Linked DNA regions of Stegostoma tigrinum. The protein of the gene in region 1 purifies or fractionates together with the protein of each later gene. This does not show direct contact. Links are inferred from orthologs where the notes say so. Each region holds a gene or a part of one and is shown on either strand. Other genes may lie near its edges.

What was found.
Region 2: the proteins of lrrc41 (region 1) and drg1 purify together in Homo sapiens (affinity purification with mass spectrometry; 3 studies listed by BioGRID and IntAct, counting the BioPlex papers as one, with this or other methods). This does not show direct contact. The link is inferred for Stegostoma tigrinum from reciprocal best matches to the Homo sapiens genes LRRC41 and DRG1.

The regions. Positions count from the first base shown.
Region 1 is NC_081361.1:76,012,624-76,019,921, forward strand, and holds the start of lrrc41 (leucine-rich repeat-containing protein 41), read left to right. Parts: upstream 1-4,045; 5' UTR 4,046-4,055; coding exon of another isoform or gene 4,056-4,285; 5' UTR 4,286-4,586; coding exon 4,587-4,704; intron 4,705-5,902; coding exon 5,903-5,989; intron 5,990-7,298. Other genes in the region: atpaf1 (ATP synthase mitochondrial F1 complex assembly factor 1), read right to left, coding at 4,056-4,285. UniProt on the Homo sapiens protein: Probable substrate recognition component of an ECS (Elongin BC-CUL2/5-SOCS-box protein) E3 ubiquitin ligase complex which mediates the ubiquitination and subsequent proteasomal degradation of target proteins.
Region 2 is NC_081379.1:46,784,339-46,791,903, forward strand, and holds the start of drg1 (developmentally-regulated GTP-binding protein 1), read right to left. Parts: upstream 3,022-7,565; 5' UTR 2,950-3,021; coding exon 2,911-2,949; intron 1-2,910. UniProt on the Homo sapiens protein: Catalyzes the conversion of GTP to GDP through hydrolysis of the gamma-phosphate bond in GTP. Appears to have an intrinsic GTPase activity that is stimulated by ZC3H15/DFRP1 binding likely by increasing the affinity for the potassium ions.

The DNA.
Region 1 (7,298 bases):
CCACACCTAACTATCCAGCAGAAAGTGACCTGTTGTTTTGAAGTCAGTGATAATGGGAACTGCAGATGCTGGAGAATCCAAGATAATGAAATGTGAGGCTGGATGAACACAGCAGGCCCTGTACACCCAGAGTTCTATTAGGAAGGGAGTTCTAGGATTCTGACCCAGTATCACCATGATGAAATTGGGTCAGGGTGCTGTGTGGCTTGGAGTGGAGCTTGCAAGTTACGGAGTTCCCATGTATCTATGTCCTGTTCTTCCAGCGTGGATTTGAAAGGTGCTGTTGAAGGAGCTTGGGTGAGTTGCCACAGCACATCTTGTAAATGATTTACTCTATCACTTATCGAGAGGGAGTGAATGTTGAAGGCAGTGGGTGGCAATGACAATCAAATGAGCTGCTTTGTCCAGCATTGTTGGAGTTGCACTCATTCAGACAAGTGGGCAGTGTTCTATCACACTCTTGATTTTCTTATAGATGGGGGACAGGTTTTGGGGATTCAGGATTTGAGTTCTCACCATAAAATTCCCACTCTCTGACCTTCTTGCAAGCAGTATTTTATGGCTAGTCTACTTACATTGTTGGTCAATGGTATCACCCATTGTTGATAACTGAAAAGGTATGCAGCCATAGGAAAGAGGAGCTGGGAGATCAAAATATTAGACAGGAAAGAGGCAGATGTGGAATAAACACAAGCAGAGATCAGTTTGGCTCAATCACTTGGTCTGCCACAGTTTCAGCCTAAATGTTTAAACTGATGAGGGCAGAGCAGTGGACGTGATTGAAATGCACTTCAGTAAGGCATTCAACAAGGTTCCTCACGGTAGGCTGGTTAGCAAGGTTAGATCACATAGCATAGACGGAGAACTAGCTGAGAAGGTAGAGCACAGAGGATAGCGGTGGAGGGTTGCCACTGGAGACCTGTGACCAGCAGTGTGCCATAACAATAGCAGAACACCTACTATTGGTTCGCAGTAAACAACTGCACCTCCCAGTCATGAACCATTTCAACTCCCCCTCCCATTCCTTAGATGACATGTCCATTCTGGGCCTCCTGCAGTGCCATAATGATGCCACCCATAGGTTGCAGGAACAGCAACTCATTCCACTTGGGGACCCTGCAGCCCAATGGTATCAATGTGGATTTCACCAGCTTCAAAATCTCCCCTCCACATACCGCATCCCAAAACCAGCCCAGCTCGACCCGTCTACCTAACCTGTTCTTCCTCTCACCTATCCCCTCCTCCCACCTCAAGCCGCACCTCCATTTCCTGCCTACTAAACTCATCCCACCTCTTGACCTGTCCGTCCTCCCCACCCATACTCTCCTCTGCACCTATCTTCTCCTCTATCTATCTTCAGTGCGCCTCCCCCCTCCCTATTTATTTCAGAATCCTCTCCCCATTCCGCTTTTCTGATGAAGGGTCTAGGCCCGAAACATCAGCTTTTGTGCTCCTAAGATACTGCTTGGCCTGCTGTGTTCATCCAGTCCCACACTTTGTTATCTTGGATGCAAACATAGTCGGTATGATTACTAAGTTTGCAGACGACACCAAAATTGGAGATGTAGTGGACAGTGAAGGTAACCATAGAGTACAATGGGATCTTGATCAGATGGACGAATGGGCTGAGGAGTGGCAGATGGAATTTAATTGTAGATAATTATTTTACTTTTAAAAATAGTCAAGGAAAAAGTTAGGCCTTGTATAAAAGCTAAAGTCCTTAATTGGAAATAGGCAGATTTTGACAGTACGAGACAGGAATTTTCACAAGTTGATTTGAGTAGACTGTTCACAGGTAAAGGGATGACCGGTAAGTGGGAAGTTTTCAAAAAGTAAAACGATGAGAGGTCAGAGAAATTATGTTCCTGCTAGAGTGAAGTGTAAGGCTGGTAAGAGCAGCAAACAATAAAGATATTGAGACTGTGGTCAAGAAGGGATCAAATATTAGGTGTAGACAACTGGGATCAAGTGAATCTCTTGAAGAGTACAAGTGGTGCAGGGGCATTAAGAGGAGAAACCTCTTAAAGATCCATGAGGTCAACTACATGTGGAACCACAGGAAATTGGAGCGATATTAAATGAATATTTTGCACCAGTTTTTTCTACTGTGGAGAAAGATTTGGGAGCTAGGGAATTCGGACAAATAAACATTGCTGTCTTAAAAAACAGTCCATATCATAGAAGAGGTGGTGCTGAAGGTGTTGAAAAATAGAACAATCTCCAGGACATGTACTGGGAAAGGCAACGACTGATTAGGGATAATATACATGGCTTTCTGCATGGGAAATAATGTCTCACTAACTTGATTGAGTTTTTTGAAGAAGTAACTAAGAGGATTGATGAGGGCAGAGTGTGGGCATGATCTATATGGACTTCAGTAAAAGCGTTTGACAACGTTCCTCATGGCAGATTGGGTAAAAAGGTTAGATCACATGGAACATAGGGAGAACTAGTCATTTGGATAAAGAACTGGCTCAAAGGTAGAAGACAGAGTGTGGTGGTGGAGGATTGTTTTTCACTGGAAGCCTGTGACCAGCAATGTGCCACAAGGATCTGTGCTGGGTCCACTGCTTTTCATCATTTATTTAAATGATTTGGATGTGAACATAAGTGGTATGATTATTAAGTCTGCACATGACACCAAAATTGCAGATGTAGTAGACAGTGAAGAACGTTACCACAGAGTACAACGGGGCCCTGATCAGATGGGCGAACGGCCTGAGTGCAGACGGAGTTTATGATAAATGCACTTTGAAAGGCAAATCAGGATAGGACTTATGGTAAAGTCCAGGGGAGGGGAGGGGGGTTTCTTAAACAGGGAGGCTTGGGAGTGCAGATTCATTGTTCTTTGAAAGTGGAGTCACAGTTAGACAGGATAGTGAAGACAATAGTTAGTACACTTGCTTTTATAAGTCAATCCATTGAGTATCGGATTTAAGAGATCATGTTGCAGCTGTACAGGACATTGATTAGACTACTACTGGAAAACAGCGTGCAATTCTGGTCACCCTGCTAAAGGGCTGATGTTGTGAAACTTGTAAGGGTTCAGAAAAAATTTACAAGGATGGTGCCAGGGTTGGAGGGTTTGAGCTATGCGGGGAGGATGAATAGACTGGGGCTATTTTCCCTGGAGTGTCAGAGACTGAGGGGTGACCTTACAGAGAGGTTTATAAAGTCATGAGGGGCATGGATTGTATAAATAGACAAGGTCCTTTCCCTGGAGTGGAGGAGTCAAAAACGAGAAGGCATAGATTTAGCATAAGAAGAGAAAGACTTAAAAAGGGTCCCTAGGGGCAATTTTTTTCATGCGGAGAGTGGTGCCTGTATGGAATGAGCTGCTTGAGGAAGTGGTGGAGCCTGCTACAATTGCAACACTTAAAAGGCATCTGGATGGGTATATGAATAGGAAGGGTTTAGAGGGATATGCACCAAATGCTGGCATGTGCGACTAGATTTATTTAGGATATCTGGTCAGCATGGATGAGCTGGACCAAAAGATCTGTTTCTGTGCTGTATATCTCTACGAGTCTATGATATGCTAACGAAGCAAGGATGATGTGAGAGAGAATTTTTTTTCCACACAGTGAATCGTTAGGGTATGGAATGCACTGTTTAGAAACGTGGTTCAGTTGAGGCATTTGAGGACAGCACTGTATGATTATTTGGATAGAAATGGTGTGCAGTGTTTCCGGAAAAGGGCAAGAGGCGAGCACTAGGTAACAGAACTAGAAAAGGCACAATGGACCAAATGGCCGCCTTCTGCAGCGTGACTATTTTGCGATATAACTCAGCCGAATTGGAAAATGGGTTAGTCTCAGTATTGGTGCATTTCCGCAGCTTCTAAGCACAAATACAAAGACCAAAGGATCTTCTTTTTAAAACCGATAAACAATCCCCTCCAGCCAGAAGCACCTCCGTGGCCAAAACAAAAAAAAAATCCTGGCCAGGGCAACACCATTACTGGCAATACAGAGCGACACAATCGAGATTAGCTTAAACATGCAGACATAAATCACATGGTAAACCAGAGCGGGTGAAAACAACGTCTCCCTCACCTCCGCAGCTCCTGGATCTTGGTCTCATACTTGGTATAGAAAGGATTTTTCTGCAGCTCCTGCTCCTTTTCGGCCTGGTTTAAAACGCCAGAGATGGAGAAAGTGCGGAGATGGTCGGAGACCACGCCAAGTCCCAGGGGGAGATGATAGCGGCTCCTGACAGCCAGGCTTCGGTTAGTCAAGGACCACAGCTCTCTGACCGCCGCCATCTTAGCCGCCTCCGTGCTCATCACATGGGCCCCGAAAGAAACTGCGAACCAGTCACAACATTCCGACTTCCAAAATGACGCACCAGTAAATGCTTCTTTATTACCAATTCTTAGCTATTACAAAAGTAGTACTGGAAATTAATCGTTAATTTCCACCGCTACTGATTGACATTGCGAATGTGTACTGCACTGTCCATAAAAATTCCAACCATCTCAACCATAATCGAGTTGACGGACCTAGTTCAGGTGACGGACGCATGAGCCGCTTAAAGCACGACGTGACCTTCCCAAGATAGCACCATAGAGACGGTGTTTGAGGAGAATGGAGCTGGGCATAGCCCGGGAGGAGGAGACCCTCAGCCATCATGTGTCCACTTTATTTAATATCTGTGCAAAGAATGTCAGCGAGAACATGGTCAGGCTGCAGCAGGGCGTCTCGGGTAAGACTTGGAACTGTAATTAACGCACCGCTTTACTGAATCTCCGAGGCTCAGATTTTACAGGACCGCAAGATAGGTGAACCATCCTCTGACTGAAGAACTTCCTCCTCATCATAGTTTTAAAGGATCATCCCATCACTCTGGCGTTGTTTCCTTGGGTCCCAGAATTTCCTACTAATGCACACATCATATCCACGTCCACTCTATTCAGGCCTGTTAGTATTCTGTAAGTTTCAATCAGATCTCCACTCGTTCATCTAAACTCTTGAGTACAGACTTGAATCCTCAACTGCACCTGATATGACAAACTTTCATCCCAGGGGTTGTTCCTGTAAATCTCCTCTAGATATTGCCCAATGCCAATATATCCTTCTCTAGATATAGGGTTCAAAACTGTTCCCAGTATTCCTCAGCAATACAACTCTGATGTTGTATTCTAACTCATTTGAAATGAATGCTAGCATTGCATTTGCCTTCCTGACTGCCAACTGAACCTGCATGTTAACCTGAAGTGAATCTTGAACTAGGACTCCTAAGTCCTTTGTACTTCAGATTTCTGAACCCTTTCCCTATTTAGAAAGTGGCCTATGCCTTTATTCTTCCTACCAAAGTGCATGACCTCACATTTTCCTATATTGTACTCCATCTGCCATTTCTTTGCTCACTCTCCTAGCACATCCAAGTCCTTCTACAGCTGAGATAACAAAGGGTGGAGCTGGATGAACACAACAGGCCAAGCAGCAAGATGCTTGGCCTGCTGTGTTCATCCAGCTCCACATTTTTTGTTATCTTGGATTATCCAGCATCTGCAGTTCCCATTATCTCCTTCTACAGCTGCCCCGCTTCCTCATACACTACCTGCCTGTCCACTAATCTTTGTTTCATCTGCTCAAAATGTTTAACATCAGGCCAATCAGAGCAGAGTTGTGAATGATCTTTGTTAAACTGAAAGAGAAAGATAAAAACAAACTTGCTTTGTGATACCTTTTTTCTAAAGAAAAGGTAAGCAAAGAAGCTACTTTAAACAAAATCAAGTGGAAGTGTATAAGTCTGATTTTGCTTTGCTGGTGCTTTTGCTCATCTCAAAAGTCTATCTTTGATAAAGCTCAAGAGGCATTTAATTTTGATTAAAAGATTGCATCTTCTTTTAAACTGCCATTTTTTAAAATCTCCAAGCTGTGTTTTGTTCAATATCTAGGTTTGCCAACTGCAATTCTTCGAGAGCTATTGAAGTTCCTTAACATATATGACCTGGAAAGGATCGAAGAGGTTGCAATAAAGAAAGGTAGAACAACGAAAGGAATTTTATGCTTAAGTTTTGAACTTCTGTTAAATAGCTTCCCAGATTTTGTGAAATTGAAGTGTTTGCTGGATTGTGAAATGTTTGTAACTTAAAATTTGCCATCTATTATTAAATTTAACATTTTCCACTCTTGTATCTACGTGTTTAAGTGTTAATGCCCATAACTCCATCAAAGGAAAGGATCTCGGAGGATTTCTCCCAAAGGTAGATACCCTGAATTGGTGGACTGCTTGTAACCAGAACCAGGAGTCAAAATACTATATCTGATATTGTGGCTGTCATAAAGTTGTAGAATCAGCCAGCATGGAAATGGACCCTTCGGCCCAACCTGTCCATGCCAAACAAAATCCTAAACTAAACTAGTCCCGTCTGCCTGCCCCTGGCCCGTGTCCCTCCAAACCTTTTCTATTAATGTACTTATCCAAATGAATTTTACAAGTTGTAATTGTTCCCACATCTACCATTTTGTGAGGAAGTTCATTGCACGTGAACCACCCTCTGCATAAAAGATTTGCGCCTCATGTCTTTTTTAAGTCTCTCTCCTCTCCCTTTAAATATGTATCCCCAAGTCTTGAAATCCCCCATCCTAGGGAAGAGATAACTCCCATTAACTCAATCTGTACCTCCCATTGTTTTATAAACTTCTATAATATTGCCTCTCAATTTCCTATGCTCCAGTGAAGGTTAATGTAGATATGAGTACCTAATTTAAGTTTTGAACATTTGCATTTTTTTTTGATGAACTCTTGACTGGATAATTCCACAATTAGCAAAGAGGTTTTAAAAATTAGTTGCTCAGTTCATAAGCCATTCACCAGTATCTATTACAGCTTTGCATCAGACTTAAGAACAAGGGAAGGTTGAATGACGAGCTGATGCACTCAAATTCTACTGTATAACATTCAAGTTTGTGTGATAATTGGCTTTGCATTATTTCTATGTTCATTTGGAGAAACATTTAATTGCTTTTCATTTAGGTGCTTTGTTATGTTGCTTTCAGATGAATACTAAAGAACCTGTAGCACAGTTTGAAGAGGAGCTGGAGAATTATCCAGCTTCTGGCCTATACTTTTCGCTGAGTCAACATTACGAAAATAATCAATTTACCTTTTACCCTGTCCTCAAAAGGGATGTAGCTATCACAGGATAACAGATGCATTTGGGCATGTAAAAACAGGGACCTGTTCTAAAATAAATGCTGGGATGTTTCAAAAGGAGTAACCACAATGTAGATGGAAGCATATTTGCTAAGAAGTTAAATTGATTGCTTGCTGTAAATGTTAATAGATTT
Region 2 (7,565 bases), on another chromosome or scaffold:
TGTATCCGGAGGTTGGTAGGGTGGTGTGTGAGAACGAGGGGGATCCTCTTGGGGCGGTTGTGGCGGGGGCGGGGTGTGAGGGATGTGTCGCGGGAAATGCGGGAGACGCGGTCAAGGGCGTTCTCAATCACCGTGGGGGGGAAGTTGCGGTCCTTAAAGAACTTGGACATCTGGGATGTGCGGGAGCGGAATGTCTTATCGTGGGAGCAGATGCGGCGGAGGCGGAGGAATTGGGAATAGGGGATGGAATTTTTGCAGGAGGGTGGGTGGGAGGAGGTGTATTCTAGGTAGCTGTGGGAGTCGGTGGGCTTGTAATGGACATCAGTTACAAGCTGGTTGCCTGAGATGGAGACTGAGAGGTCCAGGAAGGTGAGGGATGTGCTGGAGATGGCCCAGGTGAACTGAAGGTTGGGGTGGAAGGTGTTGGTGAAGTGGATGAACTGTTCGAGCTCCTCTGGGGAGCAAGAGGCGGCGCCGATACAGTCATCAATGTACCGGAGGAAGAGGTGGGGTTTGGGGCCTGTGTAGGTGCGGAAGATGGACTGTTCCACGTAACCTACAAAGAGGCAGGCATAGCTGGGGCCCATGCGGGTGCCCATGGCCACCCCCTTAGTCTGTAGGAAGTGGGAGGAGTCAAAAGAGAAGTTGTTGAGTGTGAGGACGAGTTCCGCTAGGCGGATGAGAGTGTCGGTGGAGGGGGCCTGGTCGGGCCTGCGGGACAGGAAGAAGCGGAGGGCCTTGAGGCCATCTCCATGCGGAATGCAGGTGTACAGGGACTGGATGCGGAATGCAGGTGTACAGGGACTGGAGGACGTCCAGTCCCTGTACACCTGCATTCCGCATGGAGATGGCCTCAAGGCCCTCCGCTTCTTCCTGTCCCGCAGGCCCGACCAGGCCCCCTCCACCGACACTCTCATCCGCCTAGCGGAACTCGTCCTCACACTCAACAACTTCTCTTTTGACTCCTCCCACTTCCTACAGACTAAGGGGGTGGCCATGGGCACCCGCATGGGCCCCAGCTATGCCTGCCTCTTTGTAGGTTACGTGGAACAGTCCATCTTCCGCACCTACACAGGCCCCAAACCCCACCTCTTCCTCCGGTACATTGATGACTGTATCGGCGCCGCCTCTTGCTCCCCAGAGGAGCTCGAACAGTTCATCCACTTCACCAACACCTTCCACCCCAACCTTCAGTTCACCTGGGCCATCTCCAGCACATCCCTCACCTTCCTGGACCTCTCAGTCTCCATCTCAGGCAACCAGCTTGTAACTGATGTCCATTACAAGCCCACCGACTCCCACAGCTACCTAGAATACACCTCCTCCCACCCACCCTCCTGCAAAAATTCCATCCCCTATTCCCAATTCCTCCGCCTCCGCCGCATCTGCTCCCACGATAAGACATTCCACTCCCGCACATCCCAGATGTCCAAGTTCTTTAAGGACCGCAACTTCCCCCCCACGGTGATCGAGAACGCCCTTGACCGCGTCTCCCGCATTTCCCGCGACACATCCCTCACACCCCGCCCCCGCCACAACCGCCCCAAGAGGATCCCCCTCGTTCTCACACACCACCCTACCAACCTCCGGATACAACGCATTATCCTCCGACACTTCCGCCATTTACAATCCGACCCCACCACCCAAGACATTTTTCCATCCCCACCCCTGTCTGCTTTCCGGAGAGACCACTCTCTCCGTGACTCCCTTGTTCGCTCCACACTGCCCTCCAACCCCACCACACCCGGCACCTTCCCCTGCAACCGCAGGAAATGCTACACTTGTCCCCACACCTCCTCCCTCACCCCCATCCCAGGCCCCAAGATGACATTCCACATTAAGCAGAGGTTCACCTGCACATCTGCCAATGTGGTATACTGCATCCACTGTACCCGGTGCGGCTTTCTCTACATTGGGGAAACCAAGCGGAGGCTTGGGGACCGCTTTGCAGAACACCTCCGCTCAGTTCGCAACAAACAACTGCACCTCCCAGTCGCAAACCATTTCCACTCCCCCTCCCATTCTCTTGATGACATGTCCATCATGGGCCTCCTGCACTGCCACAATGATGCCACCCGAAGGTTGCAGGAACAGCAACTCATATTCCGCCTGGGAACCCTGCAGCCATATGGTATCAATGTGGACTTCACCAGTTTCAAAATCTCCCCTTCCCCCACTGCATCCCTCAACCAGCCCAGTTCATCCCCTCCCCCCACTGCACCACACAACCAGCCCAGCTCTTCCCCCCCACCCACTGCATCCCAAAACCAGTCCAACCTGTCTCTGCCTCCCTAACCGGTTCTTCCTCTCACCCATCCCTTCCTCCCACCCCAAGCCGCACCCCCAGCTACCTACTAACCTCATCCCACCTCCTTGACCTGTCCGTCTTCCCTGGACTGACCTATCCCCTCCCTACCTCCCCACCTACACCCTCTCCACCTATCTTCTTTACTCTCCATCTTCGGTCCGCCTCCCCCTCTCTCCCTATTTATTCCAGTTCCCTCCCCCCATCCCCCTCTCTGATGAAGGGTCTAGGCCCGAAACGTCAGCTTTTGTGCTCCTGAGATGCTGCTTGGCCTGCTGTGTTCATCCAGCCTCACATTTTATTATCTTAAACAACTGTGCCTGGGTCCCTCTGTTTTACAACACTGCCCAAGGCCCCACTTTTGTCTTTCTTCGTTTTTCCAAAATGTAGTGGGGGGGGGGGTGGTGGGTGACGACGAGGGGATGTGACGGGGGAAGTGCCGAGTGTGGGTGGGGGGCGAGTGGCCTCTACCTCCCTGCCACCCACTGTCCATCTGCATCCCTTCTTTTCCCCCGCCCCCAATTGGTATCACCTCTTTCACCATTCCCCACCCCGGTGTCGTGTGTCCCATACGCGAACATTCTGATTCTCGACCTGCTAATTACCTCGGCCTCAATCTCCGAGATTTTCTGAAGGATACTCATGTCGAACAACCACAGCCGGATGAACCCTGTCCAAGTCAGACAGCCTCGCGAGACCGACCACTCCGCGGGATTGGGCGGGGAAAGCGCCACTGCGCCTGCGCATTGCCTCACCGCCCGCCCAGTGCAGCGCGCGGCTGTTCGTTATTAACGGTTGAAACGGCCGTTGAGGCAATGCCGAGTCGTACACCTCAGTTTAGAGTGTTTGCATAGGAGCACGGAACAACAAGGAGATGTCAACAAACATCACTTTAGCAGTTAACTAAGAATTACTCTATAGATTTAAAGAAGTCAATCTTTTGTTCCGACCTTAAATTAGGGGTATCTCAGCTCTCTCAGAGTAGGTCCGTCCATTTAACGAAGTGGTGTGTTAAACCTAGTTTTCAGAGGTTTCAATTTACTTGATTTTTAGAGAGCATGATAAACCTTAAGGGCCATTGGCAGTGTCCATAGGTCTGGCTCTTGTTCCATGGATATGTATCATCTCATGTCCCAACAGGTCCGTTGAAAATAATTTTAGAAAGGACTTCCCTCCGTCACATTTCATCTAATTTTCGATGCAGCTGGGATCTCGGTGATTTTAGGGACTTCGTGGTAGAGGTGGAGGAGATTTTTTTTCTCAGTATGTTGTTAGACATTCAGTAATTGGTTCTTTGGTACACAGAAAGAAGCTGTTTGATGAGTAACTGGTAAGTTACTCGGCACATTCGAACGAATACGTAGTTTAAAAGTTACGGAGTGGTACGTCAACTCAGCTATACGTATCCCATTTTTCCCATCTGCAAGAAACGTTACCAACTGCAAATTTGAGCTCCATGGACAAGAATGCAAGTAATGGCTAGAGTCACTTTTGTGCATTCAAAGGGCAGAGAATTACGTAGATAGTATATTCAGGGAGGTAATCACATTGCAGGTTAGGTTCATAGAAGCTGAAATGAAATTGTTGAAGATAGGCAAGTGGTGTGGAGGTCCCCCGAGTCCACCCTGGCACCACTGGAGATAAAGAAAGGGGAAAAGAGTCAAAAATCAATAGCGATAGATTATTTCATGGTCAGGGGATCAGACAGGCATTTACATGGCAGTAAAGAAATTTAAGGTGGTGTGTTGCCTCCTGGTGCCAGGGTCAATAATGTCACAAAATGTAAGATATCCTTCTGGGGTGGATGACCAGCCAGAGGTCATGGTCCACATATGTACCAGTGACCAAGATAGGAGGAGCGACGCAGTCCAGAAAGTAGATTCTGGAGAGTTTGTAAGGAAATTAAAAATCAAGACCTCGAGTAGTAATCTCAGAATACTCCCAATGCTAGCTGGTAGTGATCATAGGAATAGGAGGATTGATCAATTGAACACATAACTGAAGAATTGGTGGAGGAGGAGTTGATCAGATTTTTGAAACAATAAGACAAGTTTTGGGATGGATGGAATGTTGGGCAGGTTATACTTTTACAAGACCTGGACTGATATCTTCACAGAGAGATTTGCAGCTCAAATTGGAAGCAGTGTAGCTGGCAATAGGAAGTAGATATGTGATAAGTAAAATCAGGAGACAGGCGAAAGATTGTGAGCATCAACTAAACTTAGAATGCAAAATAATGTCAAAAACAAAGTCGAGCACTCAACTTGAAATGCACAACGCATTTGTAACAAAGTAGGTGATTGCAACGCACAAATGGAGGAAAATGGGTATGATCTAATTACCATTAGGGAAACCAAGCTGCATGATAACCAAAACTAGGGAATTGAATATTCAAGGATATTTGATATTTAGGAAAGACAGGCAAAAAGGAAAAGGATGTAGTGTTACATTGATAATAAGGGATGGGATCAGTACATTAGTAAGGGAGGATGTCAAATCAGTAGAACAAAATGTGGAATCTAAGGCAGGGTCACCAGACCCGAAATGTTAACTCTGATTTCTCTTCTCAGATGCTGCCAGGCTGCTGAGCTTTTCCAGCAACTTCTGTTTTTATTTCTGATTTGTAGCATATGCAGCTCTCAGTTTTTTTTAAAATGTAGAATCTGTTTGGATGAAATTAAGAAACATCAAGGGGGCACCATACATTGAAAGGACTGGTTCCTAGGCCATGAAACAATAGTGTGGACCTCATTATTAATCCAGAAATTAAAGAAACATTCCCCAGCGTGATGAATACGGTAAGCATTGGAGACTTCAATCTACATATAGACTGGGTAGACCTAATGTGCAATAATGCTGTGAAGAATGAGTTCCTGAAGAGCATTATGGTTTTCTAGTGCGATATGTTGAGAAATTGACGAGAGAATGAACCATTTTAGATCTAGTATTATGAATAATGGCTAATTAATATTCTTGTAAATTAATCTTTAGAAATGTGTAATATAATGTTTGAAAATAAGGTAGTTCAATCTGAAGGTGGGTGGAAGTCTGAACAAAGGATATAATTAAATTCTGAGCAGCAAATTGGCTGAAATGGATTGACAAATTACATTCAAGGATATGACAGTACATTAGAAATAGATAACCTTTAAAGAGCTATCTCTTAATTTACACTATTGACATATACCTTCAAAGCACACAAACTGAAAAATGTCTGTCAACCATGGCTATCAAAGTAAATTGTGGATTACTGAAAAACTTTTTTCAAAGCTATTGCAGCTTCAAACCTTACTGGTCAGTAGACACGCTGGGATTCCTGAAATTCCACATACATAAGATTACCATATCGGCAACATCATAACTAGAAGAATACTCACAGAATTATACCTTACAGACAATGTCCCAGACACCACCATCACCATCCCTGAATATGTCCTGTCTCACTGGTAGGACAGACACAGCAGAGGTGGCGACACAGTGGGAGAGAATTGCTTTGGGAGTCCTCAACATTGACTGCAGACCCTATGAAGTCTCATGGCTTCAGGTTAAACACGGGCAAGAAAACCTGCTGATTACTGCATAACGTTCTCCCTCAGCTGATGAAACAGTGCTCCTCCAACAACACTTGGAGGAAGCACTGAGAATGGCAAGGGCACAAAATGTACTTTGGGTGGGGAATTTCAATGTCCACCACTGAGTGTGGCTCAGCAGCAGTAATAATGATTGAGCTGGTGAGGTCCTAAACAACATAGCCGCTAGACTGAGTATGCAGCAGGTGAAGACGGAACCACACGAGGGAAAACCATACTTGCCCTCATTTTTACCAAAATGCCAGTTGCAATTCCATCTGTCAAAGACAGTATCAGTAAGAGTGACCACTGCACAGTCCTTGTGGAGACAAAATCCCACCTTCACATTGAAAATAACTTCCATTGTGTTGAGTGGCACTATCACCATACTAAATGGGACAGACTTTGCACAGATCTAGCACCTTAAGACTGGGTATCCATGAGGTATTGTGGACAATCAACAGCAGCAGAATTGTACTCAAGCACAATCTGTGACCTCAAAACCTGGCATATCCCCCCTGAAATATTACCATCAAGCCAGAGGATCAACCCTGGTTTAGTACAAGACTGCAGGAGGCAATGCTAGGAGCAGGACCAGGCATACCTGGTGAAGCCACCAAACAGGACTACTTGGAATCCAAACAGCATAAGCAGAGTGTGATAGATAGAGCTATGCAATCCCACAACCAATGGATCAGATCTAAGCTCTGCAGTCGTGCTACATCCAGTCGTGAATGTTGGTAGACAGTTAAACAACTCACTGGAGGAGGAGGCACCACAAATATCCCCATACTCAATGATGGAAGAGCCCAGCACATCAGTGCGAAAGATAAGGCTGAAGCTTTCACAGCAGTCTTCAGCTGGAAATGCCAAGTGGATGATCCATCTTGGCCTCCTCCAGTAGTCCCCAGCATTACTGGTCTTCTGCCAATTCTATTCACTTCATGTGGTAAAAAGAGATGGTTGGAGACACTGGGTATGGCAAAGACATGTCTTGAACACATTCCAGCAACAGTACTGAAGACGTGTGGTCCAGAACTTGCCGCTCCCCTAGCCAAGCTGCGCCAGTACAGTTATAATACTGATATTTATCTGACAATGGAAAATTGCTTAAGTATGTCCTGTACATAAAAAGCAGGATAAATTCAACCTGGCCAATTACCACCCCATCAGCCTACTCTCAATTATCAATAAAGTGATGGAAGTTGTCATCAACAGGACTAGCAAGCAGCACCTGCTCAGCAAGAACTTGCCCAGTGATGCCCAGTTTGGGTTCCACCAGTGCCACTCAGTTCTTGATCTCATTACAGCCTTGGTTCAAACATGGACAAAAGAGCTGAATCCCAGAAGTGAGATGAGAGTGACAGTATTGACATCAGGGCTGCATTCAACTGGGTGTGGCATCAAGGAGCCCTAGCATAACTGGAGTCAATGGGTATCGGGGGCAAACGCTCCGGTGGTTGGAGTCATATCTGACACGTCGGAAGATGGTCATGGTTGTTGGACGTCAATCATCTCAGCTTCAGGACATCTCTGCAGGAGTTCCTCAGGGCAGTGTCCTAGACCCAACCATCTTCAGTTGCTTCATCAATGACCTTCCCTCCATCATAAGGTCAGAAGTAGGGATGTTTACCAATGACTACACAACGTTCAGCACCACTCGCAACTCTTCAGATACTGAAGTAGCCCGT